Macaca fascicularis: one gene and its partners. The protein of the gene in region 5 purifies or fractionates together with the protein of the main gene of each other region. This does not show direct contact. Links are inferred from orthologs where the notes say so. Each region holds a gene or a part of one and is shown on either strand. Other genes may lie near its edges. The genes, in order: COPS7A, COPS7B, CEP78, DYRK2 and DCAF1.

Region 1 (4,888 bases), on a different chromosome or scaffold from region 5:
GGAGGCGGAGCTTGCAGTGAGCTGAGATCCGGCCACTGCACTCCAGCCTGGGCGACAGAGCGAGACTCCGTCTCAAAAAAAAAAAAAAAAAAGGCCGGGCGCGGTGGCTCAAACCTGTAATCCCAGCACTTTGGGAGGCCAAGACGGGCGGATCACGAGTTCAGGAGATCGAGACCATCCTAGCTAACACGGTGACACCCCGTCTCTACTAAAAATACAAAAAACTAGCCGGGCGAGGTGGCGGGCGCCTGTAGTCCCAGCTACTCGGGAGGCTGAGGCAGGAGAATGGCGTAAAAAAACCCGGGAGGCGGAGCTTGCAGTGAGCTGAGATCCGGGCACTGCACTCCAGCCTGGGCCACAGAGCTAGACTACGTCTCAAAAAAAAAAAAAAAAAAAAATTAGCTGAGCATGGTGGCGGGCGCCTGTAGTTGTAGCTACTCGGGAGGCTAAGGCAGGAGGATGGCATGAACCCGGGAGGCGGAGGTTGCAGTGAGTTGAGATGGCGCCACTGCACTCCAGAGCAAGACTCTGTCCCAAAAAAAAAACCCACAAAAAACAGGGCCGGGCTTGGTGGCTCATGCCTGTTCCCAGCACTTTGGGAGGCTGAGGTGGGTGGATCATGAGGTCAGGAGTTCAAGACCAGTCTGGCCAAGGTAGTGAAACCCTGTCTCTACTAAAAATACAAAAATTAGCTGGGCGTGGTGGCAGGCGCCTGTAATCCCAGCTACTTGGGAGGCCGAGGCAGGAGAATCACTTGAACCCGGGAGGCAGAGGTTGCAGTGAGCCGAGATTGCGCCACTGCACTCCAGCCTGGGCGACAGAGTGAGACTCTGTCTCAAAAAAAACAAACAAACAAAAAAAAAAAAGCTCATGTATCCCAGAAGTTAAAGTATAATTTAAAAAAAAAAAGGGTGGCAGAGGTTGCAGTGAGCCGAGATCGCACCACTGCACTCCAGCCTGGGTGACAGTGCGAGACACCGACTCAGAAAAAGAAAAAGAAGCACTTATTGAGTGGCTGTTTACTGCCCTTTTTATGGTCTGGGAATACAAGAAAAATATCAGAAGAGATAAGATGAATGGATATAAATCTAAATTATTTATTTATTTAGCGAGTATTTCTTCTGAGGCAATTACTGCATAGCTCTGTGGGATACCAGAGACTGGGTCTATAATCTTGTTGAAAGATATTCTTAGGTAGCAACCTTCTGCAAGGATTGATTAAGTGCCAGAATGAAGCTGAGCACAGTGGCTCATGCCTGTAACCCCAGCACTTTGGGAGGCTGAGGCAGGTGGTGGATCACTTGAGGTCAGGAGTTCGAGACCAGCCTGGCCAACATGGCGAAACCCTGTGTCTACTAAAAATACATATATTAGCCCAGTGTGATGGTGCATGCCTGTAATCCCACCTGCTTGGGAGGGTGAGGCAGGAGAATCACTTGAACTCAGGAGGCGGAGGTTTCAGTGAACCAAGATCACACCACTGCATTCCAAACTGGGTGACGGAGGGAGACTCCGTCGCGAAAAAAAAAAAATGCCAGAATGAGTGATCCATGATAGGAGAGGAAATCTGGGTGGACTGGACTGGGCGATGCAAGACAGTGTCCTGGTCAGGTGGGTCTGAAGCAGAGACCACAAATTTAGATGTCTTTCTAGGCTGTGCAGCTGTCAGAGATGAGTGAGGCCGAGGCAGGAATCTGTTGAATTGCGGAGTACTGCACACTGCCCAGACATATTCCAATTTAGAAATATCAAACACTCTGAGGGCCAGACAACACAATTTGCGGTGTCTGGTGCGTGTGTCTGTTCGACTCTGAAAACTGAATGTCTTCAACTCTGAATTTAGGGTAGGAATTGGATGGCGTATGGAGCAAGAGGGCATTGTGGATTGGGAGAATAGTGTAAGCAAAGGCCTGAAGGTGGAAATGCGCCCTTCCTGTGGGAAGCGTGATCAGAGAGGCAGAGAACTGCTTTTGATGAGCCAGGAGAGTTAACATTGGCTGGGAAAGATGGAACAAAAAGTGGAGTTCCACACAGGGTAAGGCTGGGAGGGTGGAGAGGAAGACTTGGGTCACCTCCTTTGTCTTCATTCTTGCAGCTGGCTGAGAGTGACTTTGCCTCCACCTTCCGGCTGCTCACAGTGTTTGCTTATGGGACATACGCTGACTACTTAGGTAACCAGAGGGTGTGGTGCTCTGGAGTAATGGAGATGGGAGAAGGGCAATTTCTGGAGGGACTCAGAAGAAATTCCCAGGATATCCCACTTAGATCCCCTGGGCACGTAGGGTCAGTGTCAAGACCTGAATTGGCATTGAACATGGGAGGGGAGGGAAGGAGGCTAGGGCTTCCCAGAAAACTGATATCAGGATTCCTTACACTTTGTCATTTTTCCCTAGCTGAAGCCCGGAATCTTCCTCCACTAACAGAGGCTCAGAAGAATAAGCTTCGACACCTCTCAGTTGTCACCCTGGCTGCTAAAGTAAAGGTGAGTGGCAGTCCCCCAGTCCTACGGTCTTGAGCATCCTTTTGTATGTCCCTGGGAGTCCACACTAGGACAGCCTTTGTCTGGACCATGGCTGCTTCCTGCCCTCCCCTTGTCCAAGGTCTGTATATAAACTCCATTAGCAACCGTTTAGGCTGATAGTATTCTTAGTTTTCTGTGTTGTTTTTATTTTTTAATCAACCTAAGTTCTAAATAAACATCTTTTGTGTATTTGGTCAAAATAGCAACTAGGATGTTGTTCAGGTGTTGTTCAACAATACCTTCTTCCCTACTGCAGGAAACCAGACTCTCTCTTGATGAAGTGCTAGGCTTCTCTTTGTTAGGATGAGAAATATATATCCCAGAAGTATCTGTATATTCCCATTATTAATGGCTGTTTTTTGTCTAATATCACCATCCACCTCCCCAGCCTGCCCAATCTGCAGCTCGCAATAGTTACTTGACTCTCAGTTGTCCTCGGGATTTAATTTAAACCAGGCTCTCTATTGAGAGACACCTCCAAAGGAATGCCTGTTGCAAGCAGGCAGAGTATAAATGATAAACAGTAACTCCAGACCTCTCCCACTTCCGCTTTCTCCCCTATGTCAAGCTGATCTTGACTGAGGACCGGGTGATACCCTGAACTGTGGCCAAAGGAGTGACACCCAGGCAGATGTCATTTTCTCCCTCTGTGGTGTGGCAGGGGTGAGGGTGTTAGGGGAGCATTTTGTATTTTATTTAAGATTGTGCTTCTAATGATGCTGTTTTTGAAGTGGGAATACTTTTGTTTATTTTGCTTTAGAACCAGCCTCTTAGAGGAAGTGATTTAGGAATGGGAGTGGAGGGCAGGTGTGCTGGGGCAGGGGGAAAAGGAGGGAAGATTTTTGGAAGCCCTTTTCTGTGCGGAACCTCACAAATCCTGACCTGATCTGCGCGGCCCCAGTGTATCCCATATGCAGTGTTGCTGGAGTCTCTTGCCCTGCGTAATGTGCGGCAGCTGGAAGACCTTGTGATTGAGGCTGTGTATGCTGACGTGCTTCGTGGCTCCCTGGACCAGCGCAACCAGCGGCTCGAGGTTGACTACAGCATCGGGCGGGACATCCAGCGCCAGGACCTCAATGCCATTGCCCGAACCCTGCAGGAATGGTGAGAACCGTATCCTGGCACTGTCCCCTTCCTTGTCACCCTGAGAAGGAGAAAGGCGCTTCAGGGTGAGAGAGGGCAAGAGCTGGGCTGGTCTGTAGAGGTGGAACCCAGGAGGATGAAGGGAAATGAATTTATCCCTCCAAAGGCTTCTGGGGAATGCAGGAGTGGGGAGACCTTGGGAGGCGGCAGAAGTCAGCGTCTTTGATACAGCAATTGGGGGAGGGAAAGGGAGTGGTACAACTGAGGGGATCCTAACCAGTAAGGTTGGTCGCCTATCTTAGGCTGGATTCTGTCGATTGGTCTATAACTACCATTGTCCACAGGCCATGGACCTTTTCCTCTTTTTTATTTTCTTTGTGTCCCCATCTAACTTCAGGGTTTCTGTATTCATTAAGTCACCTCTTTTGCTCTTTAGCATCTCCTGCCCTATTTTGTTTTTAGTTCCTACTCCCATCTTGCACATTACTCCAGGCACTTCCTTATCGCTCTCTGACCACACTGAGTGTCCATCCCACTGCTAGGAGTGTTATCACAGGTAGTTTCTAGGTGCCCTGGTGAGGGTTCCCAACTCAGACTCAAAATGCCTGAAGCTGTGTTCTGGCTCTGTTGCTCAGGTTGGAGTGCAGTGGCACCAGCTTGACTCACTGCAGCCTCCAACCTCCAGGGCTCAAGCCACCCTCCACTTCAGTCCCTCGAGTAGCATGGGACTACAGGCTCGTGCCACCACATCCGGCTAATTTTTGTATTTTTTGTAGAGACGGGTTTTTACCGTATCACTCAGGCCGGTCTTGAACTCCTGAGCTTAAGCAGTCTGCCTATCTTGGCCTCCCAAAATGCTGGGATTATGGCGGTGAGCCACTGCGCCCTGCCTCTAGGGTTCTTTTTGAGTCCGTTTTCTGCGAGTCTGTGATTGCAGTCCTTGTCTGCTGACACTTCTCTGCCCTGACTCCCGCAGGTGTGTGGGCTGTGAGGTTGTGCTGTCAGGCATTGAGGAGCAGGTGAGCCGTGCCAACCAGCACAAGGAGCAGCAACTGGGCCTAAAGCAGCAGATTGAGAGTGAGGTGAGCAGTCAGGGGAGCGGGCAGACCCAAGCTCCCCCAGCCTGGGCCACTTGTCCTTTGCAGAGAGGATTTGGACAGTGGCTGTAGCAGACAACCAGATGAGCAGGGGCTGGAAGGTTCTGGAACCTTCCTTGCTATCCCCATTCCTTTCATCCTGGTAGGTTGCCAACCTTAAAAAAACCATTAAAGTTACAACGGCAGC
Region 2 (5,605 bases), on a different chromosome or scaffold from region 5:
AGCATCAGTGCTGTGGCTGTCTTCGCTTTCCCATCCCCAAAGGCTGCCCGTTTGCCCCACTCCGGTCCATCCAAATAGCGCCCTCCCCTGACGGGAATTTATCTCCGCTCTGTGCCTAGCCTCTGGCCCTCCCACTCCAGAAGAAAGCGACTGTCTCCATCTCTTTACATTCTCTGCGCCCACAGGCTTTGCTCCTTAAGCCGAGAGCTTTTGAAGGGACAAGTTTCTCTCCATTTCCCTACCCGCTCTCCACCCCCACCTCCTAACATTCAGTCTCTTGGCAGAGATCCCTATCTGTCTCTTCACACGGGTCCTCCTGGAAGGACCTTTTCGCTCCTCCTCTCTTGACCATCACCGACCCTCCTTTCTTACCTATTCCTTCCCTTCTGCCTCATATCCTCTCCTCTTCTCTTTTCCCTTTCCCTTCCCTCCTCAAAACCCGTTGTTCCCCAGCACGTCACTTTTTTTTTCTGTGTCTGACCGGACCTTCTTAGGTAACCCTGAGTGAGGCGACATACTTGTTTCTGTAATACTGTGGAAGGTTAACTATTATGTGTGCCTGCCAACACAAAACTTAGTTTCTCTTTCACCAAACTATTCTTCGAATTGTTCTTTGCTCCACTCTACTATACCGTCTTTCGTTCATTTTGTCACGCTGCTGTAATATGTATCATTCTTAGAGGAGAAATCTTACCTGGAACTCCTGTACACTCAGCTTGTAATTAGATTACACAGTTGAGGGACCCTCCTGTACTTAATGTCTTCGGAGCGCTTATAGAATATTTTCACTGTTTTCCCAAATCTTTTTATTGTTTTCTTGAGTTCTTTTTACACATTCTGAAGTCACGTTTGGTTAAAATGTCGTATCAGGAGGAGGCCGAATACAGGGATTTTCCCCCATGGTCTTACACAGCATGCATGTTCTTAGTTTGGGTATGTCGCTGTTTTTCTTTCAAAATGATGTCTCCCTCTACCTGTGCTTACCTGACTTGATTAAATGAGACATCTTTCTTGTTTGGTTTTTTGTTTTCCTTATCTCTCTGGCTGTAGATGGGATTCTGATGACACAGTGGGAGCTGTAACTGATTGCTTTTGCTTACGTCTGGTGCCTCTGGGTATAGGCAGTATCCTTTATTTCTTAACCAGAATATGTAAACGAGGTGGATATAAAACAGCTGCTGAGAAACTCCTGTGTTTTTCTTTAGCTCCTGGTCAGGTTTAAGGACTTAGAAGGTGTTGCCTCTGGAGGAGGGGCAGGTGGAAGTGAAATGACTTTTACAGAGTGTGTTTCAAACACCAGAATTTAGTAAAAGATCCTTTTAACTCCAGGTTGAACTCCACCCATCTCCCAAGGTGGTAATTGCATCTGGACTCAGGAACTGTTTTTTTGTTTTGTTTTGTTTTGTTTTTTAAAAGACAGTCTCGCTCTATTGCCCAGTCTGGAGTGCAGTGGCGCGATCTTGGCTCACTGCAACCTCCACCTCCTGGGTTCAAGCAATTCTTGTGCCGCAGCCTCCCGGGTAACTGGGACTACAGGCATCTGCCACCAGCCTGGCTAATTTTTGTATTTTTAGTAGAGATGGGGTTTTGCCATGTTGGCCATGTTGGTCTCGAACTCCTCACCTCAGGTGATCCACCCACCTCAGCCGCCCAAAGTGTTGGAATTACAGGCATGAGCCATTGCACCTGGCCTGGTTTTTCTTTATCAACACTATAAAATTAAAGTATTCTGGTGTTTGATTCAGCACTAAATAGGCATAGACTTTGCAAAGGAGAAGGAAGAATGACACAATTTTCTTTTGGACAGATTTCAAGGCCAGAGAATGGCAGGGGAACAGAAACCCTCAAGTAACCTCCTGGAGCAGTTTATTTTATTAGCCAAAGGTACCAGTGGCTCAGCCCTCACTGCTCTCATAAGCCAGGTCTTAGAGGCTCCTGGAGTGTATGTCTTTGGAGAACTTCTGGAGCTGGCCAACGTGCAGGAGGTAAGAACGGTTTTCAAACAATTTCTCTGTCTTTGTTCTGAGACTCTCTGTAATTCTCCAGGTTTCCAAAGAATTTCAATGCTGAAGTATTGTGAACCTGTGAGGTACCCTATTGAGAGAGGGATGGGAATTGGTGGGGCAGAGGAAGAGATTGAGAGGATATCCTTGGGTCCTTTTATCCAGTATTTTTATCTCAACTTGGGTAAAATTAGATTGTTGCTAATAATAATCTAAAAGATAGTAAAAAAGTCAAGTTGATCCTGATAAATTAGAAAAGTGCTATAAGCATGGGCTGATGTTTAATAGGGGTAGATTCAGGCATTCTTAGGGACCAGAAACCTCCAGTGCATTATCGATAAGGAGGATTGGTCAGGGACACACAGCAGAAACTTACTGCTATTGAACATAAAATGGACATGAATAGGAGTGTATTTTTCTTGTGGAAAAGGACAGTGCTATGCTAAATGTGTTAGATATGACATGAAAAGCTAGGACGTAGTTCATTTTACGTGTTTGCTTGCTTGTTATTAAAACCTTGGGTATCCAGTTTTGGTCATTGTGCCTCAAAAATGAGAAGATCCATTGAACAGAAGGAACAAAGAGATGTAAAGCAATCTATACTTCTCCACCTCTACTTCCCACTTTGAACATTTTTATTTGTTTATATTCACTTACTTGAGAAAAGTCTGTGAGCATCTTTATTGCTTTGTAGGGTGGAGGGTCATACTCAGGAGCTTTTGGTGGATCGGTGGGGCAGGTCCCCTTCCTCTTCATCCTCACAGGCTTCTGGCTTTGCAGGCTGGTGCTGGCTCTGTGGAAGGCTGCCACGCACCGATCTGGGTGGTGGTACCTCTTGTGGAGCATGTGCCGGATGCTGTTGAGAGTGGCCCTGCAGTTCTTGGTGGTGGCGATTTGCATATAGGAGGTGGTTTGCTTTTGTTAGGCAGTTTATCACCTTCGTGACCACTACAACACCTTTGCTGTTGGCTCCACATCCACAGTCAGTTTTAACAAAAGGAGTTGCCGGCCTTCAGGTTGTTGGATTCGGAGCTGTGTGTCCTCCTGTTCCTCTTGATGGGGAAACTGCAGCAGTTCCCCACAGCGCAGCCATTTCAGGTGCCCACTTATGACTCCTCTACCTGTGATGGTCAGAGATGAGAAGAGCCACTTTTACTTTTTCATTGTAAATTTTTATTTAATTTCAGGCTTGCTTGCCAAACTGTAATCTCTGTGAGGAGGTCTGTAGTGCTCAACATTGTTTCTTTAGAGCTGAATACATAGCCTGACACACAGTAGGTTTTCAATAAAAATTTAATTTGCCAGAAGTGGAAAATGAGTTTTATGAAGAAAATTTGAGAGAACTGGGTTCGTTTTTCAACACAAGAGATGACCAAAGGGTAATATGTTCCTTCAGGTTCATGAAAAGCCTGCATGAATATGCCAAGTAGTTGTTTTGTAACTGTGGAAGATTGGCTAAGAGGAGATGGTTGGAAAGTAAAGCCAGAAAGGCTTTATTGATTTAGGCCAGGGGGAGAAGTGTTGGAGTATCTGCTCTGGAGAAAATACTCTTTTCCGGCTAGTTTTATGTGTCTGAAAAGTGGGGGCTAGATTGGATGGTCTTTACCAGGTTTCTTCCCCTTCTGATTCAGGGACTTCAGGAGGTTTGTGGTAACCTGAGAAAGTAGCCTGAGGTATTAGGATGCTGGAGTTCTCCATAGGGTGCTTGGCAGACCGCCTTTATCTCTCCATACATTGCGTTTTTCCTTATGTGAGCTGAGAATAAGCTGGTTGCCTTTCAGTGATCTGAAATTATAGATGCATTTCTTGGAATCTTTATTTTTTTAAAGGCTAAAATTGAGTAGTACCGCTATTCCTGTTTAGAGGTTACTGGGCTTGGTAAGTTGGAAGGGTAACAGGAGCACGTTTGTGATTTAAAAAAAAAAACAAAAAACTCACCAGTTAACGTAATTGACAGCAGAGAAGTTACAGGCAGAACAGTGGCTCTTTCGTTTTTCTTCTACACATGGCTTTTTGCCATCAGCATCAGTGAAGAGTAAGTAATTTTAATGAACATTTTGATTTGGAGCAGACTGATACACTGGTTTTCTGTCCCAGCCTGGCTTTCTGTCATGCCCTGTGATGTGCTGGTCTCTCCCAGGGTTCATAGTCCACATGTAGTCCTGAAACTTGGAAGCAACCCTGAGCTTTGTTCACTTTGGGTTAGTGGTGGCTCATGCCATACCTACCAAGCTAGTATGTAGATATGGCTGCTGCAGTCTTTGTTTTAATGCAAATAGAATCTTGAGAAGATTTGAACTCCTTCCAATGCTTAATGCTTTGTATGTGTGTGAGAGAGAAAAGCAGTTCCTTGGGCATGCTGTGTAGAAAGTAAAACATTCCCGAGGGAGAGATATTAAATTTGGGGCTTTAATAATCTTGTTTATTTTTTCCCAAAGAATCAGAGTTGGAAGAGAGACCCCAGGGGCCAAGTAATCAAATAGTACAGAATAAACAGCCATGGCATCTTTGACACATGCTCACCCGTCCTCTGTTTGAACACTACAGTGATTGGTAGACAGTTTGGTCTGTGGTGAACTTTTTTTTCCCTCCTCAGCTTGCGGAAGGAGCTAATGCTGCTTATTTGCAGTTGTTGAACCTGTTTGCCTATGGGACATACCCAGATTACATAGGTGAGTTGGTGAAGATCCTTCAAAAGACTTGTCTTAATTATGTTGCTCAGTTTGGAAGACCATCAAGGTTTGAGATATAAAGCATGGGGTAGGGGGGAGACTTCTTGACCTGGCTGCCTCCCATTTTGCTGTGCCTGGTAGGTGACCTCACAAAGGGAATTTTCCTTCTCACCTTTTGTATTCTAGTGGGTAAAATGGGGACTGTGTGTGCTCATCCACAAATGTAGCCCTTGTTTATTTTCCAGACGAGATTCTTGAGGACTGGTGTTTGTAGGGCTCTTGGAGTGCCATGAAGTGTCAGAATACCCACCTGTAGAATATTTCAACATTTTAAATATTATCAAAATAATACCAGCATATTGAAGAAAATTTGGAAAATAGATTTTTAAAAAGTCACTCATAGGCTGGACGCGGTGGCTCATGCCTGTAGTCCCAGCGCTTTGGGAGGCCGAGGCAGGCAGATCACTTCAGGTGAGGAGTTTGACACCAGCCTGGCCAACATGGTGAAACCCTGTCTCTACTAAAAATACAAAAATTAGCTGGGTGTGGTGGTGGGCACCTGTAATCCCAGCCACTCTGGAGGCTGAGGCAGCAGAATTACTTGAACCTGAGAGACAGAGATTGTGGTAAGCTGAGATCGCACCGCTGTACTCCAGTCTGGGCAACAGAGCAAGACTCTGTCAAACAAACAAATAAATAAATGTCACTCATAGTTGTATTTCCATCAGACATTTGGATGCTGGACTTTCTTGTGCCCCTTAAGTTTGTGTTTTGTATTACATAGGTATAACTATGTATATAGTTTTATGTCTTGCTTGTTTCCCACTTATAGACATTTATCCATATTTTAAGTCTTTGTAATATTTTTAATATTTCACAACCTAATATTTCATAATCTACTTAGCCCATTTTCTGTTGTAGGGCATTTGA
Region 3 (5,605 bases), on a different chromosome or scaffold from region 5:
CAGGCGGCAACATTGACTCACCTACTACCCAGCTACCTTCAGTCTTACAACTTGGATAGTTTTTACATTATAAAATTAGTCCAGCTACCTTCACTCTTATAACTTGGATAATTTTTCCATGATAAAATTAATCTCACATTGAAATTTTGGTCCAATTCAGAAGGTTCTGTTTGGTAGGAGTCATGGGTATATCTATGTTCTGTCCTTGAGATTCAGGAATGCCAAAAATATTCTGAGATTTAATAACAATATTTCTGCATAATGCATAATGAAATGTATCACATATAATCTTTCATTCTTTGGGTTACATGTTTTATTTACTTTTTCATGCTCTGCATGTCTCATATATTAAAGTTATATTTTAGTTAAAGTGATAACTTGTTACTCTAGACAACTTATATTTTTAATTTTTATATATTTATTACATTTTTAACTTATATTTAAATATATTAAAATATATTTATTCTTATATTTATTAGTGGCCTATGTAAAAAGATATTTACAAATTGATCCTGATTTAATGGCCTTGGTGTCATTGTCAGGTGCCCATTGGTATTCTTTTAAGAGTATGCACATGTGCTAATTAATCTGTAGACCTTTAGTGCATCTTAATTCTTTCTTTTTAACACTTTCTCAAGTAGGATTGGCTACAAAGAAACCTGTAAGTAGTGGCAGAAAACACTCCCTTGGTAAAGAATATGCGCCCGCACCTCTACCACCTGGTGTGTCTGGTTTCTTGCCATGGCGTACTGCAGAACGTGCAAAAAGGCACAGGTAGGGTATTTTTATTTTCTATCTTTTAGGATAAAAATGGGATTCAAAATTCTTTATTTTGGAGCTTCTATTATGTGAGAGTTCTCTGCTTATGTCTATAGGGTAAAAATGACTCATGTGGCTTCTGCCTCATGAATCCTTTAAGGAAGAAAAACAAAAAATAATCTTAAGTAGGGTTTCAAGTTATTAAGTGTCACAGCAAGCTGTATCCTTGTGGGAGTCCAGAGGAAACTGAAATTATCTCCAGTTGTGCAGGTGAGGAAAGGTTTCATTTAAAGCATGTGCAGTTAAACCAAGTCCTATAGGACAGAAGTAGGAATTTGGATATTTAAGATTGGGGAAAGGGCATTGTAAAGCATAGGAGAGTGTTGATTAGACTTAATCTAACTCAGCCAACTGGCCTAACTCATTTTAGTGAATCATATTTAGTGAATCAAACCAGATATAACTAGTTTTAGCCAGTTACCTAGGGGGTAGCTATTCATAGTAATTTTTGTCAGAAGAATGTTTTTAAAATGTTGTACTATAATTTTATGCTTAATAAATGAATTAGATTACTATAAATTGTTTTCAAATGACTTTTAGTATTCAAGAAATTGGAGATTAACAATTGCTTAAGAAGACAGAGAACTGATTTTAAATAGGACTGGAAATAGGTGCTATGTGAAATATCTGTTCAGTTGCTCAGATTAAATTGAATATGTATAATCTTTATTAGGCAACTGATGACTATACTTATTTTACAACTGTAATGTGAATTATTATTGCATAAACTGTAGTGCTGAGGCCCTGGTCTTTACACTTACATTTAATAACTGCAGTTTCATGTCTTCTTGAGATACTTACTCATTTCAAGTCCCATCTTGGTCACAAGGAGTTGTGAATTAGAGAACAATTAATATCACCAGTTAAAGAAGTTAAATTGGAAATCTGAACCATCCTGAACATAAGAACTACATGCATCTTCAGAGACTTATCCCAAAGCCATTCTGCTAAATTGTTTAATTTTCTCCATAGCAGAGTTTTCCAGGCCCTTATCTGGAGGTGATTTATTTCTATGCACAGTTATGTATGGATAGTCTACATAATACTAGCAAGTGTTATTACCTAGTGTTAACTGGTGGTGTATTTACATCAAAATATAACTTAATTTATCAATATCTCTTTAGGGGTTTCCCATTAATCAAAACACGTGATATATATAATCAGTTGCAGGTACGTAGTTACCGTGTTTATAATATGTAGGGGGTTGGAATGGGAAGGGTGGAAAATCATTCTCTGTGCTCTTTAAACGGAATAGAGTTTTACAAAAACATTTCCCTCCCTGAAGTAAATTCATTTAAAATTTTCTGGGTTTTCCCAGTGCCACAGTATAATCGTGTGGCTATGTCACACAATGGAGGCCTTGTGGTTTCATCTGTGTAGACAGGAAGTCATTTCTCTGGGTCTGCAAATTAGCTGTTGCCCCTAGTGAAACAAATTTGACCACCATTTCTCACCTGGCACATGGAGTTATCATAGTCAAGAATGTCCTTAAGTTTAAAAGAAATGTTTTTTGGGGATACATATTTTATATGTATATAAAAAAATATATAAATTATATGTATATATAAACATATATAAATTATATATATAAATATGTATATAAATTATATATAAATGTATATAAAAATTCCAGATTCTAAATCCACAATAAAGCAACCAGTCCTAAAGCCTCTGCTTTCTCAGAGTTTTTCTTCCTCCCTTGTCAGGATCAAACACATTCCCTGTCATTCTGCATCATGGTATTAGAGCAAGCCAATTCTTTCAGAGTATCAGGTTTTCCTTTTCAATTGTTTTTAGAGACTGTAATTTCTCTGTAAAAGGTAGCACTACTGAGATGAAGGAGCACCTGTGTGTCGGTACTGCTCCTTGCATAGCCAAAAGTATGGGCGTGCATCTCATTCTACCATCTAGGATTTTCAGGTACTGCAGGATTTATGCTTGTAGTAGATACTGCATTCTCGTGACTTCTCTTCTGTACAGTTATGTATCCCGGCACTCTTCTTTTTGATCTGTGGACTTTTTATGGGATTGTGACACAGTCAATTTTGAAATATTTGGAAATATCATATTGAATAACATTCCAGTGGCATTGAAACTTGACAGGAGAATTGCATTGTTATTACAGTAGTTTTTGGCTTAAGAATGAGGAAAAGATGAGGTTTTTGATGTCTCAGTTTTAGTTGTGTGCATGTATTTGGTTAATTTTTTTTTTAATTCTAGTTTTTGTTTTATTTTGTAGAGACAGGGTCTTGCTATGTTGCCCAGTCTGGTCTTGAACTCCTGACTTCAAGCAGTCCTCCTGCCTTGGCCTCCCATAGTGCTGGGATTACAGACCATTCTAGTGTTTATTATTCACAGTTTAAATTATTCTTCCTTCTTTGTGAGGCCTCCACTGATGGATTTTTTCTCCTAAAAATCATACTTTCTTTAAGACTCTGTGTGTGATGGTAGAGAATAAATTTCTCATCTGCAGTTGATCTGAGAAAAAATGTTTACCCTGCCTCCTCGCTTGGTTTATGTGAAAAAAGTGTAATAAAATAATATAGGTTCTTTTCAGAAAGATTTTATTTAAGAAAAAAAAAAATGGGCGATTCTAGTATTAATTATAAACCTTGTATGAGAGAATTATTTCAATAACATAGCAAGAATAGTGTCTTTTTACTTTGTTATTGATTGTGTTAGGCTAGGGAGTAGTGATAGACATTTATAGAGAATGACTTAACACTTCAGAAAGATCACTTTGATTAGATGTCCTTTAGTATTTGGTATTTGGTTTATATTATTATACAATCTTGTTCTCTTTCTTTAAGCAACCAGGTTTTCCTGTGACTGTGACAGTAGAGAGTCCTTCATCCTCTGAAATTGAAGAGGTTGATGATTCTTCAGAGAGTGTTCATGAAGTGCCTGAGAAAACTAGCATAAAACAAGAAGCATTACAGGTACAAAGCTATCACTTTAAAGATATGGAGAAGATTATTTCAAACTCTAGTTAGTTTCTGGTGAAAGCTTGATTAGGCACTGGACAGCTTGCATGGGAATCCTTCTATCTCATATCCCTTGAATGGTTCTTTATCATAGAACAAGGTAAAAGGAAGGACATCTGTACTCTAAGAAATAAAAATTGAAACATGTCATCAGTAATCTATTTTCCTTTCCTTAGAATTATAGAATATTAGATTTAGGGAAGGCCTTAATGATCATAAGATAAACTCGATGAAATTAAGCCCTGAATGAATGTAACCAGCTGATTTAGGGCTCTTTGGGAGGCCTTAACTTTTTTGTGTGTGCTAGGAAGTCCACAATTAATTTTTTAGAATTAATATAATTTTCTTTTATATGAAACTTAGAAATATAGAAATAATTATCCCTTTTTTATATACTTACATTTAGCTTATAAACAACAGGAATTTATGTCTCACAGTTCTGGAGGCAGGAGAGTCTAAGATCAAGGCTCAGGCAGATTTGATGTCTGGCAAGGGCCTGCTTTCTGGTTCATAGATGGCTTTTCACCATGTCCTCACATGGTGGAAGGGCAGTTACCTTATTTTTATGTGACTATGGAAATCACTTTTTGATTTTCAAAAAAATGAAGCCTGATTTTCATTTTTAATATTAAAATTAATAGTATTTATATAGAAAAATTTTAAGATAATTATAAAAATGATAGAACATTAGAGGGAAAAATTTATAGATAATGTAGAATTGTCCCTATTATAAATGAGCACCTATAGTTTGTAGCACCTGAGTGGTTTATTGCTAAGTTCCAGAGGAAAAACAAAATCCTACAATGTCTCATTCATGTTCATTATTGTTTTAAATGTGTTGTATTTATTTTCTTCACCGGGGATTAGGAAATTGTATTCTAAAAATGATTATAGCCACTGAGGAGACCAAGAAGGTTATGAAATACAACTTGGGAATTTCTGATTCAAGAGGCACTGAGAATTTTCTCAGTTCTTTTCTATTTTAAGAACTCTTTAAAATGATGTTATCAAAATTTCTAACACATGTAAGCCTACAATAATCAAGAGAATTGAAGAGATTTCAACATATTTTTGAAATACAGGCGACAGATGGAAATGAGTATGAAACCGAATCAGTAGAACAGAGGAAAACCATTGCCTAGAATATGCACAGGGGAAGCCTACAGCTCAGAGGGAATCTAATCCCTACTCCAGAAATGGCTCCATACACAGATATGCATATAGGAAAAAGGAGAAGGGAACTAGAAACGTGACTAACATAGAGGGAGCTCCTTGACAGTTTGTATGTGGAAGAGTTGACTCCCAGCCTTACCTGCACTCTCCTGAAATGAGATCATTTGACTTTGAAAAACAGTAAAGTAACTGGGGAGAACTAGGGTAGATAGTGTGGATTTTGCACCCTAGAAAAGGGTAGCTGAGGATATCCTGCCATACTGGCTACCCACTTCTTCATGCATAGGAAAAGCCAGTCATCAGCTCCCAGTGATCCTCCGCTCCCTTATTCTTAAATAGAAAATAACCATGATTCACCTGATAGTTGAATAAAACTCACAACATGACAAGGAAAATAAAAGATGAAAAATATGTCCTGGTAGGACCAGAGCTAATTAAGAGAACAAAAATACTTTAAGAAAAAACCCTACTTAACATCCTTAGGTTTGTTAAGTACAAGTATGAAAGATACAGCGCCTGTAAAAAAGAAATAGGGTGTTGGGAGGCTGAGGCTGGTGGATCACAAGGTCAGGAGCTTGAGACCGTCTTGGCTAATACAGTGAAACTCTGTCTCTACTAAAAATACAAAA
Region 4 (6,330 bases), on a different chromosome or scaffold from region 5:
TTTAATATTTTTGAATTTAAAATACTTCTATTAATAACTGCCAATTAACATTAATAGAAAAATAATAGGAAGTAACAGGCACACTTCTATCTCTCACACAAACAGAAATAAATTACTAAAGTGTAAAACAACTTATGCATGGAGATATAAAACAAGAGGGCAACGGACTAGATAAATTCCAAAGCTTATAATCTTTATAATCATATATTTGACCTGCCTAGTGTATCACCTGTAAGAGAAAATGTGGGCAAGCTCCTATGACAAGATCATTTTTATCTCCTTAATGCCCTCCCCACCCCCCATTCATTCTAGAAGTTCTTCCTAGGTGTAATTACTCTGGAAATAATAACTAAAAATTTATAAAAATCCGACAGACATATGAGAATATGGATCTACAAAGGTTCTTGCATTTATAATGAGGCTAGTACAATTTCCTAGAATTAGCAGTCTCCATCAGCATATTAAAACTAGATGCAGGAGGGTGTAGGCTTTCACTCCGGCCTTGATATGAACTGGCTGGGGAATCCTGATGAAACCAGTTACCTTGTCTGAGTCTGTTTCCTCATCTATAAATTGAAAGACTAGAAACAGATAAACTCTGTGGTCCTTTTAACCTTTCCTGTACTATGAAATCTGCGATGTTACAGAAATAAAATCAAAACTAAACCACCATCGAAACCCAAATTCACACCTTCAAAGTCAAGCATCTAATAATTAACAGCATAGCGAAGTTTACACACACGTTAAAAACAAGTAAATCTGGCACACGCCACAGCAAAATACAGGCCTCCATTATGAGGAGTACTGAGAAGCACATTCACATCCTTCCTTTTCTGGTGCACCACAGGCTCTCCCTCCAGTGGAGACTTGTCGTTTTATCTACTTTCATTACATGTATTTCAATGGCAAAGAGGCTTTGATCAAGCAAAGCCCATCCTTACAAAATTGGAATCCACATGCAAACCAAATAGCTCTTTTTCCAGGTCACACCATGTCATGTGATTACATCAACACATAGAAAAAAAAAAAACTGGATATTACATTTTCCAAATTGTCAGATGATCCCAAACAAAAAATCTAAACCCCTAAAATCAATGGCAGTTCGTTACCTAAATTTTCACTGCAACAAGAACACTGAACAGTAATATACAGAATCATCCGTCCTACTACCATCCACAGTCCAACACAGATGAGTTAACTTCTGTGCAATGAATTCCCAGCCCCTGGGACCAGATGTGTCAGGACAGAGACAGACAGAGGGAGGGGGAAGAGTGTAACAGCAACAAAACATTTTCCTACGAAACTTGCACACGTCTCTCCAGGTCTAACAGGTGCAACTACGGTCTAGACATCCCCTCACAGTTCTCTGACAAACAAGTTTCCCCATATGTCCCCAGAGCTACTCCCCTGTAGGCCGGGGGATGGCCTTTTTTTCAAGAACTCAACTTTCGCTTGGCAAATAAAACCAATTCCTGGCAAGCATCCCTCACACAGAACCATCTTAGGCTGTTCCTGTGGAAAATCCAATCGGGAAAAAAAGACCTCCAAACCATCACCTCCTCCAAGTGCAGATCTCCTCCAGGCTGGCCATCACCATCCAAGGGTGATCCCTGGGAGCTGAGAAAAGGTACATGCTGAAGTCGAATCCAGCTTGCCAGTCTCCACAGCCACCAGCAACCAGTACCACGCTGGCCTCTCCCCTCCCTCTGGGCCCTGAGAGACCACAGCACCTGTTAGGTGCTTTTTCCTTCCCACCTCCAAAGCAACGCTTGCCCTTTCCTTTTGAATAACGTCCAACTGCAGAATCCTACAGGGGTGGCTTGTTTTGACTGCTGCGGCGGCTCTTATTTTTGTTAATGTTAATTACAATTTCTGCTGTGCTCAAACCTGTAGCACTCATAAAACATGCTTACACACGCGGGGGACAATTGGCGATGCTCCCTGCTGGCTGGAGCCAGGCCTGGGAGGCTCTTTGGGGGATCGATTTTCCAGGCAGGCCGGTCTGGCTGTCCCCTAACACATATCTGTTTCTATAAATACCCACTACCCACGGGGAGGTGGGGGAAGGACAGAGATGTTTACCCGGTCAGGGAAAGGGAGCTCTGGGATGCAAGGACGAAAAATGAGGAAAGAAGGGAAGCAGCAAGGAGGAAGTTCCTAGGAAGAGGAGCTCATGGCTGGGCGGGCTCCGGAGGGGAAGTAAGGGGCCCACGCCACGAATCTTCCTTTGTGGCTGCAGCTTTGGGCTCGCCCAAGTTAACGAGGGCGGCGTCGAGGAGAGGCCACGGGCCCGGGGCGTGGGGCTTCTTGTATCTCGACCCCTCTTCTCCCGGCGTCAGAACCCTCCAAGTCCGGGTGCTTCTGCCTGGGGCCCCTCCCGCCCCCACCGCCCGGGCCGCCCGCGGGCTGGGTCTCACCGTGTGGGCTGCGGCGGCAGCGTTGCTGGCCCGGAGAGGCGGCAGGGCGATGGGGGAGGGCGGGCCGGTCCCCACTCCGCTCCGGGTGGCCCCCGCACCGAGCCCCGGGGAAGCCTGAAGCTGGCGAACGGCGCTGTCCCCACCTCTGCCTGGAAGCCACGTGCGGGAGGAGACAAAAGAGGGTCAGGGGGGAGAAAGTCACCCAGACTACCCCCCACCCCACTGGGCAGCGACACCCCTCTCCCAGGGAAAGACAGAGGAAGAGACCGGGGCAGTACAAACAAGCGTTCGGGTCACGGCTCCCCAGCGCACACCCACGGGCGGGGCGCAGGCAGCTGCAAAGTTAAGTCGGGCCCTGGCGCGCGAGTTCGCGACCCGGCGGGGAAGCCGGACCACGCCGGGGCTTGGCGGCCCACATTGCAGACTGCCAGCGGCCGGGAGGTGGGTTTGGACAGCTGAGCAGGGCGCCACGGCCACGCCAAGCCCCGGGCAGAGAAGGGCGGGGCGGCAGGCCTGGACGGTCCCCGCCCGGGCCCCTGGCAGGCAGAAGCCTCTTCGGGCGGAGGACTCCCCTCGGAGGGGCCTTCGGCGCCGCGCGCAACCCTGCGCGGAGCCCGGAGCGCGCCGTCCGCCCGGGGACTCCCCCGCGCCGCGCCGCCGACTTTGTTCGAGGTCCCGCAGGCAGCGGCCGCCCGCGCCACGGGGGCTGCCCTGGGTCGGCGGGGTTCCGGGGGGGGGGGGCGGCGCGGGGGCACGGCCTCCTTACCGGTCGGGAAGGCGGCGGGAGCGGCGGCCGAAGGTTTCCTGGTTAACATGGCCGCTGGAGAGGAAAATGCATTTCAGGGCTGCCGTCGCCGCCGCCGGTCCTGCTGCTACTTCTGGCGGCCGCCGCCGCCGCCGCCGCCTCCCGGCCGCCCCTCGCGCGGGTCCCCGGCGCCTCGTCGCCGCCTCGCGTCTGCTACAGCCAGACACACACAGTCCACTGCATCCCCTCGGCCCGGGCCCGCCGCCGCGAGCCCCCCGCTCTCCTCCTCGCCGCCGTCCTCCTCTTCCTCGGGCGGCTGCAGCACCCTCCGGCCCGTGCACATGCCTCGCCCTCCCCTGCGCGCCGCGGGCCTCCCCGTCTCCCTCACATAGGGGCGCGGGGAGCTAGAAGCGCCGCGAGGACCGAGAACCGCCTAGCTCGGGAGGCTCTCCCGGGCCCGCGCGCGCGCGGCCCCGCGCACTCACACACAGACACCGGCGCGCGGCCCCGCCCCCGCCGCCCTCCGCCGCCCTCCGCCGCCCTCCGCCGCCCTCCGCCGCCGCCGCAGGCCCCGCCCCCGGCTCCCCCGGCCCTGGCCCCCACCCAGCCTCCCGCCTGGCCTCTCTCCTCTCCCCGGGTCGCGCGCAGCCGCCCCTCCGTTCCCCGGAAAATTCGGCGGGCTCCGCTCGCCCTCCTCCGCCCCCTCCGGCCATCTGCACTGCTCCCCTCGGCTCCACTCCGGCGACCTTTTCCCCTCCCCGGCCTCTCCGGCCCCCTCGGAGCCCCTCCGCTGCCCTAACAGCTCAACCTACCGCTGCTGCCCTCCGGCCGAAAGCGTCGCAGAGACCCCTCCCCTGCCATGCCCACCCCTAAACATAAATGCATTTTCAGCTCTTCGAACTGAATGGCTGCTCACAGACAGTACTGCGTCCCCGGTCCCCCATTCTCAGTCGCGGCGACTTAGCCACTCCCCTCTCCCCAATTCCTCATGTAGATAACTTAGTTGTGCGAGGGTCACCTCGGAGAGTCAAGTCCTGGGAGGGGCCGCCGCTGAGCTCGTTGACCCTGAGCAGGGGCGAGAGAGGGGGCTGCCCTCCCACCTCCACTACACACACCCTCCCCGGTTTACTGACACCAAGTGACCGTTCGCCAGTCGCTAGGACAAGGGGAGGCAGAGAGGCGCGTGTGGACGGCAGCTGGGGAAGCAGTTGGCTGTGGGTTGCTAGGCAAAAATAAACATCAGAGACACCTCCTATTTCCTTACAACTCCGAGCCTTTTCCTGGCGCGGCCACTGGGAGAGACACACCTTCCTTTGAGCTCTGCGGTGAGGGAGCGACACCTCGAATTCCTCTCACCCCAACCCGACGCATCTCTTATAAACCCCTTCCTTTACAAGAAACTTAGAGAATTTCCCTGCCTTTTTTATTCGCCATCTACAACCTCTCTTTTCCTTGAAGACCAAAAAAAAAAAAATTGCTTTCCCGTCTCACACCCACGCCTCGTCGTGCGTGGCACACGGTGCGCCTCTGTCCAAAGGTCACAGGTGTTGCCACTTCAGCCGTGAGAGCAGGTGGGGTGGAAAAGCCCGACAAATTCCGAATGACGGGGCAGAGTTATGCCATGCACTTCCTTCTCGAGAGGTGCCTAGTTTCTGAAGTTCTCTTGGGGTCAGGGGTCCATTACGCTCTGCCCCGCCCGATTATCTCTGGCCCCTGGCTGGACCTACTGTGCAGGCCCGAACTAGTGCAGACTCCAGTCGGAAGGGAGTCACCTCCTGCGGAGTTTCATCGCCTCTACTGTTTGCAAATTGTCATAGCAACCTCCCACAGAGCGCACCCGCAGCTTTATACAAACGCCAAAAACTGTGTTTCAAGGTACAGTGTGACCTCTCAGAGTCTCTGGGACTCCTAAAGAGGCCTCCAAGTTAGGGACACTGGGAGAGGGAAACTGTGACAAAAAGAATTTTGCCTAGTATCACGTCCCTCCAAAAAAACAAAACAAAACCCTTTGGGGCCTTCTCCTAATAAAGTAGACCACAGTAAAATAATCCAATGATATGCCTTTAGATGAATCATGACCTGAACTGACCCTTGCAAGAAATATCCCCCTATGCTTGTCACTAGCGACTATCACATTTAAATCTACATGCGGAAGCATATTTAATGTTTAGAATCGACTAAAAGGCAAGGGCTACTCAGTAGCAGAGATGACACTAGAACCGGTTTTCTGACTCCCAGTCTGATTTCACTGATTTCCATCACACTACTTTCCTTACACTTTCAAGAAAGCTCACACCTCTTTTCTTCTCCTTTCAAAACACTTATTTTATACCATTTTCCTTTTTAAAATGAGTATACAACTGATGTTCAAATAAAAAAAAGAAGCAAAAATATCAATTTTAATATAATCCGACAGCCCTTTTTGCTTAAGTTATTCGTACAATACTTCAGTAGAAGCTAAATATGCCACTGTTTTCTCATGAATAAAATAAATGCTAGTTACTGGAAGCCATAGTTTACAATTTCCAAATTAGTAATATTAATTTACTCATTTAACATGAGGAAAAGGAGTGCTGATTCTTTTTTTTTTTTTTTTTTTTTTTTTTTTTTTTTTGACAAAGGAACACAATCATTAACTTTAGGAAAATAAAAGACATTAGGGAACTTTTTGTAGTTTGTTATTTTATATCATGACAAATATAATTTCAATTTTATATATTTTTTTGTGGCTTAACATAAGGAAATACTGCAGTTAACCTACCCCATGGCTATTTTGGTTATAAATGGTACATGTTTGAAAATTATATTAAATTTTACTGACCTCTAAATGACTATTAACCATTGCTTAGATTTTCCTTATTCTATTAAATATGGACATCTCCCTGAGTGAATGTTAAATGGAAAAGTTGTACAAACACACTCCTGGGGCTTTGGGGAGAGTAAAGTGGGTAAATTTGGGGAGTTGTTTCCCTCAAATTTTATTATTATAATGCATCATTATCAGTTATCTCATATAATTACACATATTTTTATCTCTTTATAAAACACTTTCACAAATATTACCATGGTTAATCTTCATAACTCCACCAGAGCGGATTTCATTTTAAATAGGAACCTCCTTAAAAGCTTCATTCAATTAGCAAGAGACTGCTCTTTGGTTTTTACTCA
Region 5 (6,350 bases):
ATAAACCTTAGTGAGACCTTGTCTCTATTATTTAAAAAAATAATAAAAAATAGGCCAGGCGTGGTGGCTCATGCCTGTAATCCCTGCACTTTGGGAGGTCGATGTGGGTGGATCATCTGAGGTCAAGAGTTCGAGACCAGTCTGGCCAACATGATGAAACCCCGTCTCTACTAAAAATACAAAAAATTAGCCAGACGTGGTGGCAGGCGCCTGTAATCCCAGCTACTCGGGAGGCTGAGGCAGGCGAATCGCTTGAACCCGGGAGGCAGAAGTTGCAGTGAGCCAAGATCGCACCACTGCACTCCAGCCTGGGCGACAAGAGCAAAACTCCATCTCAAAAAAATATTAATAATAATAAAGAATAAAAAAATATAAAGGCAAGGCGTGGTGGTTCACACTTGTAATGCCAGCACTTTGGGAGGCTGAGGTGGGAGGATCACTTGAGCCCAGGGGTTTGAGACCAACCTGGGTAACAGTGAGACCTTGTCTCTATTATTTAAATACATAAAGGAAAATATAAACTTATAATAGACTTAATAATAGCAATGTGAATTAATTTAGTATCAATGAAAACAGTCAGCAACTGGGTGTGCTGGCTCACACTTGTAATCCCAGCACTTTGGAAAACCTAGGTGGGCAGATCACCTGAGCCCAGGAGTTTGAGACCAGCCTGGGCAACACATGATGAAATCCTGCCTCTATGAAAAAAATTTAAAAATTAGTAATAGTAGTACCTACTTCAATGTTTGTTTTTTAGTTTTGATTTTTTGTTTTGTGAGACGGAATCTCGCTCTGTTGCCCAGGTTGGAGTGCAGGGGCGCAATCTCTGCTCACTGCAACCTGTAGTTCCAGCTACTCAGGGAGGCTAAAGCAAGAGAACTGCTTGAGCCTAGGAGGTGTAGGCCACAGTGAGTCATGACTGCACCACCGTACTCCAGCCAGAGCAAAAGTGCGAGACCTTGTCTCAAGAAAAAAAAAAAAAAAAGGCTGGGCACAGTGGCTCATGCCTGTAATCCCAGCTCTTTGGGAGGCCAAGGCAGGCAGATCACCTGAGGTTGGGAGTTTGAGACCAGCCTGACCAACATGAAGAAACCCCGTCTCTACTAAAAACACAAAATTAGGCCGGGCACAATGGCTCACGCCTGGTAATCCCAGCACTTTGGGAGGCCGAGGCCGGTGGATCACAAGGTCAGGAATTCGAGACCAGCCTGGCCAACATAGTGAAACTGCGTCTCTACAAAAATACAAAAAAAATTAGCCAGGCATGGTGGCACGTGCCTGTAATCCCAGCTACTCGGGAGGCTGAGGCAGGAGAATCACTTGAACCCAGGAGGCAGAGGTTGTGGGGAGCCGAGATCGCACCACTACACTCCAGTTTGGGCAACAAGAGCAAAAAGACAGTCATCTTCACCTTGTTATGCCCAAGACAGTGAGGATGCATTACTCAAGTTCTTAAGTGAGTTATTTAAGTGCTATGAAGAAATGATGGTCTGTCCAATGGTGACACATAGTTACCAATTAGTGAATATCTAGTATGGAACAGACATTGAGTAAGTAATTTACTACACTTACATTATTCTGAATTTTCACAACCATCCTACCCTTTTTTACACATGAGGAAACAAGCTCCGAGAGGTCCCCAAGACCAGCTAGTACTAGGTAGAAAAAGTATTTCAAGGATTCAAATCCCAATTCTGCTGACATACCTGTGAAGTCTTGGTTATTTAACTTCTCCAAATCTCAATTTCCTTATCTGTAAGATGGAAACAGTTGTTGTGCGGGGTTAAATGACAATATTGTCCCCATGGTGGGATAATACAAAGCCTCAAGAAATACTTATGTAAAATTTCCTTATCCTAACAAGTGTCTGCTAGCGTAGTCCACAAAATAAATATATAGATACCACACACAAAAACAGAAAAAATATGGCATAATATTAACAATTGTTTGCCGGGCACAATGGCTCATGCCTGTAATCCTAGCACTTTGGGAGACTGAAGTGGGTGGATTACTTGAGGCCAAAGTTCAAGACCAGACTGGCCAAAATGGCAAATCCGCATCTCTACTAAAAATAAAAAAATTAGCCAGGCGTGGTAGCACACACCTGTAATCCCTAGCTACTCCAGAGGCTGAGGCATGAGAATCACTTGAACCCGGGAAGCGGAGGTTGCAGTGAGCGGAGATCATGCCACTGCACTCCAGCCTGGGCAACAGGGCAAGACTCCGTCTCAAAAAAAAAAAAAAAAATTAAAAACTTGCCAGGCACAGTGGCTCAAGCCTGTAATCCCAACACTTTGGAAGGCCAAGTCGGGAGGATTACTTGAGGTCAGTTGGGCAACATTTCGAGACACAGTCTACACAAAAATTTAAAAATTACCCAATCATGGTAGCCTGTGCCTGCAGTCCTAGTTACTCAGGAGGCTGAGGCAGCAGGCTCCTTTGAGTCCAGGAGTTAGAGGCTGCAATGAGTTATGATCACACTCGAGACCATCCTGGCTAACACACTGAAACCCTGTCTCTACAAAAAATTAGCCGGGCGTGATGTCAGGCGTCTGTAATCTCAGCTACTCAGGAGACTGAGGCAGGAGAATGGCGTGAACCTAGGAGGCGGAGCTTGCAGTGAGCCGAGATCGCATCACTGCACTCCAGCCTGGGCGACAGAGCGAGACTCTGTCTCAAAAAAAAAAAAAAAAAGGGTTATGATCACACCACTGCACTCCAGCCTAGGCTACAGAGCAAGATCCTGTATCTAAAAAAAAAACAGTCTAGGTGTAGTGGCTCGTGCCTGTAATTCCAACACTTTGGGAGGTTGACAAGGGAGGATCACTTGAGTTCCAGACCAGCCTGGGCAACACAGTAAGACTACTGTCTCTACAAAAAATAAATGAATAAAAATAAAAAATTTAAAAACTGTATAATAGGCAGAACAGTAAAACACTGTACTCAGCAACTACCCAAGAGGTACTGAGCAAAAAATGATTTCCCTACACTCCCCAAATTCTCTATTATCTCAACATCCAAATATATATACCTACTCAAAAATGGGTAATGAATAACTGCTATATAGAAAACCCAAATGTTCACATCATTAAGAAAAATACTAAATCGATTCCTAAAGTCTACATATACACACATAAACATTAAAGGTAAACTCCAGTAAGCTGGAAAAAGAAAATGAAGGATATTACCAATTAACCTCTCATTCTGTACATTAACAATGCATTTTGAACAGGAAGATGCTACTAACATAAAAAATTAAAACGTGTAAAGACTAATTAAAAGGCTTCATCGAAAAAACAGGGTAAGGAAAAACCGAGACCAACATGACGTGGCCAAGGACAAGTCATTTCTGACTCAAAAATAACTAATACAAACACTCCAAAACTATTTCCTCAACAAATGGAAAACCAGAGCGCTGCCACTGCAGTAAGAGGAAGCCAGACAGAAAACCGTCTAGGAAGTGAAGTTGTGAAGCAAACGCTTCTGAAACCCCAGTTGAAAACTACTATAACCCCCGGAAACAGACTCCCGGGAAGTTTGGCGGGCACTCTGAGGTTTGACTCCAGGCTGCGGGACCCGCACACCTCTTTCCAACCCTTCCCTTCTTCATGGGGATGAGAGGAGTGACCAGAAAGCTCCGCCCCCGTCGCAAGGTCCAAGAGCCGGGCGGGTGCAGGGAGAGGTGGCACGAGGCCGAGAGACTGGAGAGCCCGCCCAGGTGACTGGAGCCGGAGGCGGAGACACAGTCCGTGAAGGGGCCCGCCGTATAGTACGGAAGATGGAGCCCCCCCAAGCCCGTACGGAACAGAGACTAGGAAGATTGGAAGGGAAAAGATGACAAGGGATATGACATGCGCCCCTCCCTCCAGGTAGGGGCTGACACACCCCGCCCCCCCACTCCGGGCGGAAGAGTTACTCTCGGGAAGCTTCTCGTGGGGAGTGGAGGAAGAACGTGGAGGCCCCGCCCCCGGGACAAGAATCAGGAGGAGGAAAAGTCCTGTCAGGCCCCGGGCCCAGCCTCCCGGCTGACCGGCCCGCCCCCTCCTCGCCGGCGGCCCAAGCAGGTGCCGCCCCTCCCCCAGCCCGGCGCCCACTCTGCCGCCCGGCCAGCCACGCGCCCTGCCTCCTCGCGCCCCTCCCGTAGAGTCGCCTCCCTCCATTTCCCACTCACCGTCCGAGGCGGCTCCGCCACTGCCCCCCCGCGACCCCGCCAGTGGCCACAGTTCACACACACAGCCTCAGGTCCCGCACTCACTCTTCACTCACATACACACACAGCGCGACCACGGCTCCACAGCGGCCCACATATTATGCGTCACTCGCGCGCTACGTGCACCGCGCGCGCGGGCGCGCGCGCCTACTTGGCGCGAGGACAGTGAGCAAGGGGCGGGAGGAGAACGCCTGCACGATCCGAGGAAAATCGAAGAGCCCCGGGGACGCCTGGGAAATGAAGTTCCGCGTCTAGGGGCGGGCCCACCAGTCCCAATTGACGCATGAGCTCTTCGCCCCGCGCATTGACTTCTGGATTTGTAGTTTTTTTGGATAAATGCGAACTGCTGAGTACTCATTGGCTGCTTCGGAAAGCGGAAGTGAAAAGTGAGGGAGTCAATCCTTCCAAGACAGTACTATAATCGCCTGATGCTTTAGTGTCTTGTTCTGACCTGTGTGCGCAAAGAGCCTCTGTTTTATTCGGCTATTTGCCTCATCTTACCTAGAACATACCGTGATCTAAGAAAATATTTTCTCATAAACATATCAGAAATCACAGCACTCATTAAAACAGAAGGCACTAGTTGTTTTTTATGTGTTTGTTTTGAGACAGAGCCTCGCTCTGTTGCCCAGGCTGGAGTGCAGTGACGATCTCAGCTCACTGCGACCTCCGCCTCCCGGGCTCAAACAGTCCTCCCACCTCAGCCTCCAGCTGAGACTACAGGTGCATGCCACGACACCCAGTTAATTTTTGTTTTTGTTTTGTGTGTGTGTATTTGGTAGAGACATGGTTTCACCATATTGGCCAGTCTGGTCTCGAACTCCTGGGCTGAAGCGGTCCACCCACCGGGGCCTCCCAGCCTCTTTGTTCTCCGTCTTTTTTTTTTTTTTTTTTTGAGACAGAGCCTCGCTCTGTCACCCACGCTGGGGTGCAATGGCGCAATCACAGCTCACTACAGCCTCAACCTCCTGGGCTCGAGCTGTCTTCCCACTTCAGTCTCCCAAGTAGCTGGGACTACGGGTGTGCACCACCACACCCAGCTAATTTTTTAAAATTTTTGTAGAGACGGAGTCCCACTGTGTTGTCCAGGTTGGTCTTGAATTTCTAGGCTCAAGTGATTCTCCTGCCTCAGTCCCTCAAAGTGTTGGGATTACAGGTATGAGCCACTGCGCCCAGCCTCTCTTTTTGTTCAAGACCTAGCCTGTAGGAATCAATAGATACTTATTGCCAGGTATTATACGTGAGGCAGAGAAGTGAAAAATCAAAAGCTCATAGATTGAGGCAGGACTGACCTCACAGGTCACTTAATTCAATTTCTTCATGTTATTGGGAAAAATGAGGCCCAGAGGGAGTGAGTGACTTGCCCAGCATCACACAACCAATTAGCAGAACCAGAAGACTCCTTACTCCGACCAGCGGTCCCTTTTGCGGGGCATAGAAGATAAACATGACTCCACATTTGAGGAGAATCTTGACCTGACAAGATCCTACCCAACCTTCAAGGCCTTACGCAGCTCATTATCTCTCTGGGAATGCTGAGCAAGTCTCCGTGCATTTCCATGAGTCTTCACGGACAATACTGTCACATGAACACAAGACACAGCAAGCCTGCCGCTATGCTCAGTGTTCCACAGCTAGTAAGGAACCTGAATCCTGGTTCCCTTGGTTTCACTCCCCACTAGATCCCATTTCCCTCTTTCCAGAAAAGAGACCATCCTCCTTCTCTTAAATGTGTACTCTACTGTGTGCTGGGAGCGCCACAGACATGTCACCTCTCTTCACTTCTTTCTCCTGCAACAACACACAGCTTTCTTCTCTGTGCTTCTGGAACTTTGCCTCTATCAGTAATGGCCACTACCATTTCTTTCAACTTTAGAGCATGCTGGGCTCTGAGCCAAGTGTTCTAGCCACACTCTCTCATTTAACCCTCACTACCCTGCCACACACACAGGGAAGATATGGTTAATCACCTTTACAGATGAGAAATCTGAACCCAGAGAGGTAGATCAAGGAATGGAACCCACATGCCTTTCCTCCAGCACTCCTTCAGGTGACTTTCCTGGGCCATGAACCTAAAATGTATGGAGATGGGACATTTAAGCCTTAGATATCTCCCCTCTGTCTATGGTCTAGCCGGCCC

The links.
Region 1: the proteins of DCAF1 (region 5) and COPS7A purify together in Homo sapiens (affinity purification with mass spectrometry; 4 studies listed by BioGRID and IntAct, with this or other methods). This does not show direct contact. The link is inferred for Macaca fascicularis from reciprocal best matches to the Homo sapiens genes DCAF1 and COPS7A.
Region 2: the proteins of DCAF1 (region 5) and COPS7B purify together in Homo sapiens (affinity purification with mass spectrometry; 3 studies listed by BioGRID, with this or other methods). This does not show direct contact. The link is inferred for Macaca fascicularis from reciprocal best matches to the Homo sapiens genes DCAF1 and COPS7B.
Region 3: the proteins of DCAF1 (region 5) and CEP78 purify together in Homo sapiens (affinity purification with western blotting; 3 studies listed by BioGRID, with this or other methods). This does not show direct contact. The link is inferred for Macaca fascicularis from reciprocal best matches to the Homo sapiens genes DCAF1 and CEP78.
Region 4: the proteins of DCAF1 (region 5) and DYRK2 purify together in Homo sapiens (affinity purification with western blotting; 5 studies listed by BioGRID and IntAct, with this or other methods). This does not show direct contact. The link is inferred for Macaca fascicularis from reciprocal best matches to the Homo sapiens genes DCAF1 and DYRK2.

What each region holds. Positions count from the first base shown.
Region 1 is NC_088385.1:7,647,239-7,652,126, forward strand, and holds part of COPS7A (COP9 signalosome complex subunit 7a), read left to right. Parts: intron 1-2,095; coding exon 2,096-2,171; intron 2,172-2,393; coding exon 2,394-2,482; intron 2,483-3,422; coding exon 3,423-3,625; intron 3,626-4,580; coding exon 4,581-4,686; intron 4,687-4,847; coding exon 4,848-4,888.
Region 2 is NC_088386.1:127,715,074-127,720,678, forward strand, and holds part of COPS7B (COP9 signalosome complex subunit 7b), read left to right. Parts: intron 1-1,772; exon of another isoform or gene 1,773-1,807; 5' UTR 1,808-1,823; coding exon 1,824-1,985; intron 1,986-4,599; coding exon 4,600-4,675; intron 4,676-5,605. UniProt on the Homo sapiens protein: Component of the COP9 signalosome complex (CSN), a complex involved in various cellular and developmental processes.
Region 3 is NC_088389.1:108,874,955-108,880,559, forward strand, and holds part of CEP78 (centrosomal protein of 78 kDa), read left to right. Parts: intron 1-638; coding exon 639-774; intron 775-1,943; coding exon 1,944-1,989; intron 1,990-3,629; coding exon 3,630-3,758; intron 3,759-5,605. UniProt on the Homo sapiens protein: Centriole wall protein that localizes to mature centrioles and regulates centriole and cilia biogenesis. Involved in centrosome duplication: required for efficient PLK4 centrosomal localization and PLK4-induced overduplication of centrioles.
Region 4 is NC_088385.1:74,403,432-74,409,761, reverse strand, and holds the start of DYRK2 (dual specificity tyrosine-phosphorylation-regulated kinase 2), read right to left. Parts: upstream 3,624-6,330; 5' UTR 3,233-3,623; coding exon 3,184-3,232; intron 2,567-3,183; coding exon 2,418-2,566; intron 2,389-2,417; exon of another isoform or gene 1,557-2,388; intron 1-1,556. UniProt on the Homo sapiens protein: Serine/threonine-protein kinase involved in the regulation of the mitotic cell cycle, cell proliferation, apoptosis, organization of the cytoskeleton and neurite outgrowth. Functions in part via its role in ubiquitin-dependent proteasomal protein degradation.
Region 5 is NC_088376.1:114,508,861-114,515,210, forward strand, and holds the start of DCAF1 (DDB1- and CUL4-associated factor 1), read right to left. Parts: upstream 4,299-6,350; 5' UTR 4,172-4,298; intron 1,754-4,171; 5' UTR 1,707-1,753; intron 1-1,706. UniProt on the Homo sapiens protein: Acts both as a substrate recognition component of E3 ubiquitin-protein ligase complexes and as an atypical serine/threonine-protein kinase, playing key roles in various processes such as cell cycle, telomerase regulation and histone modification.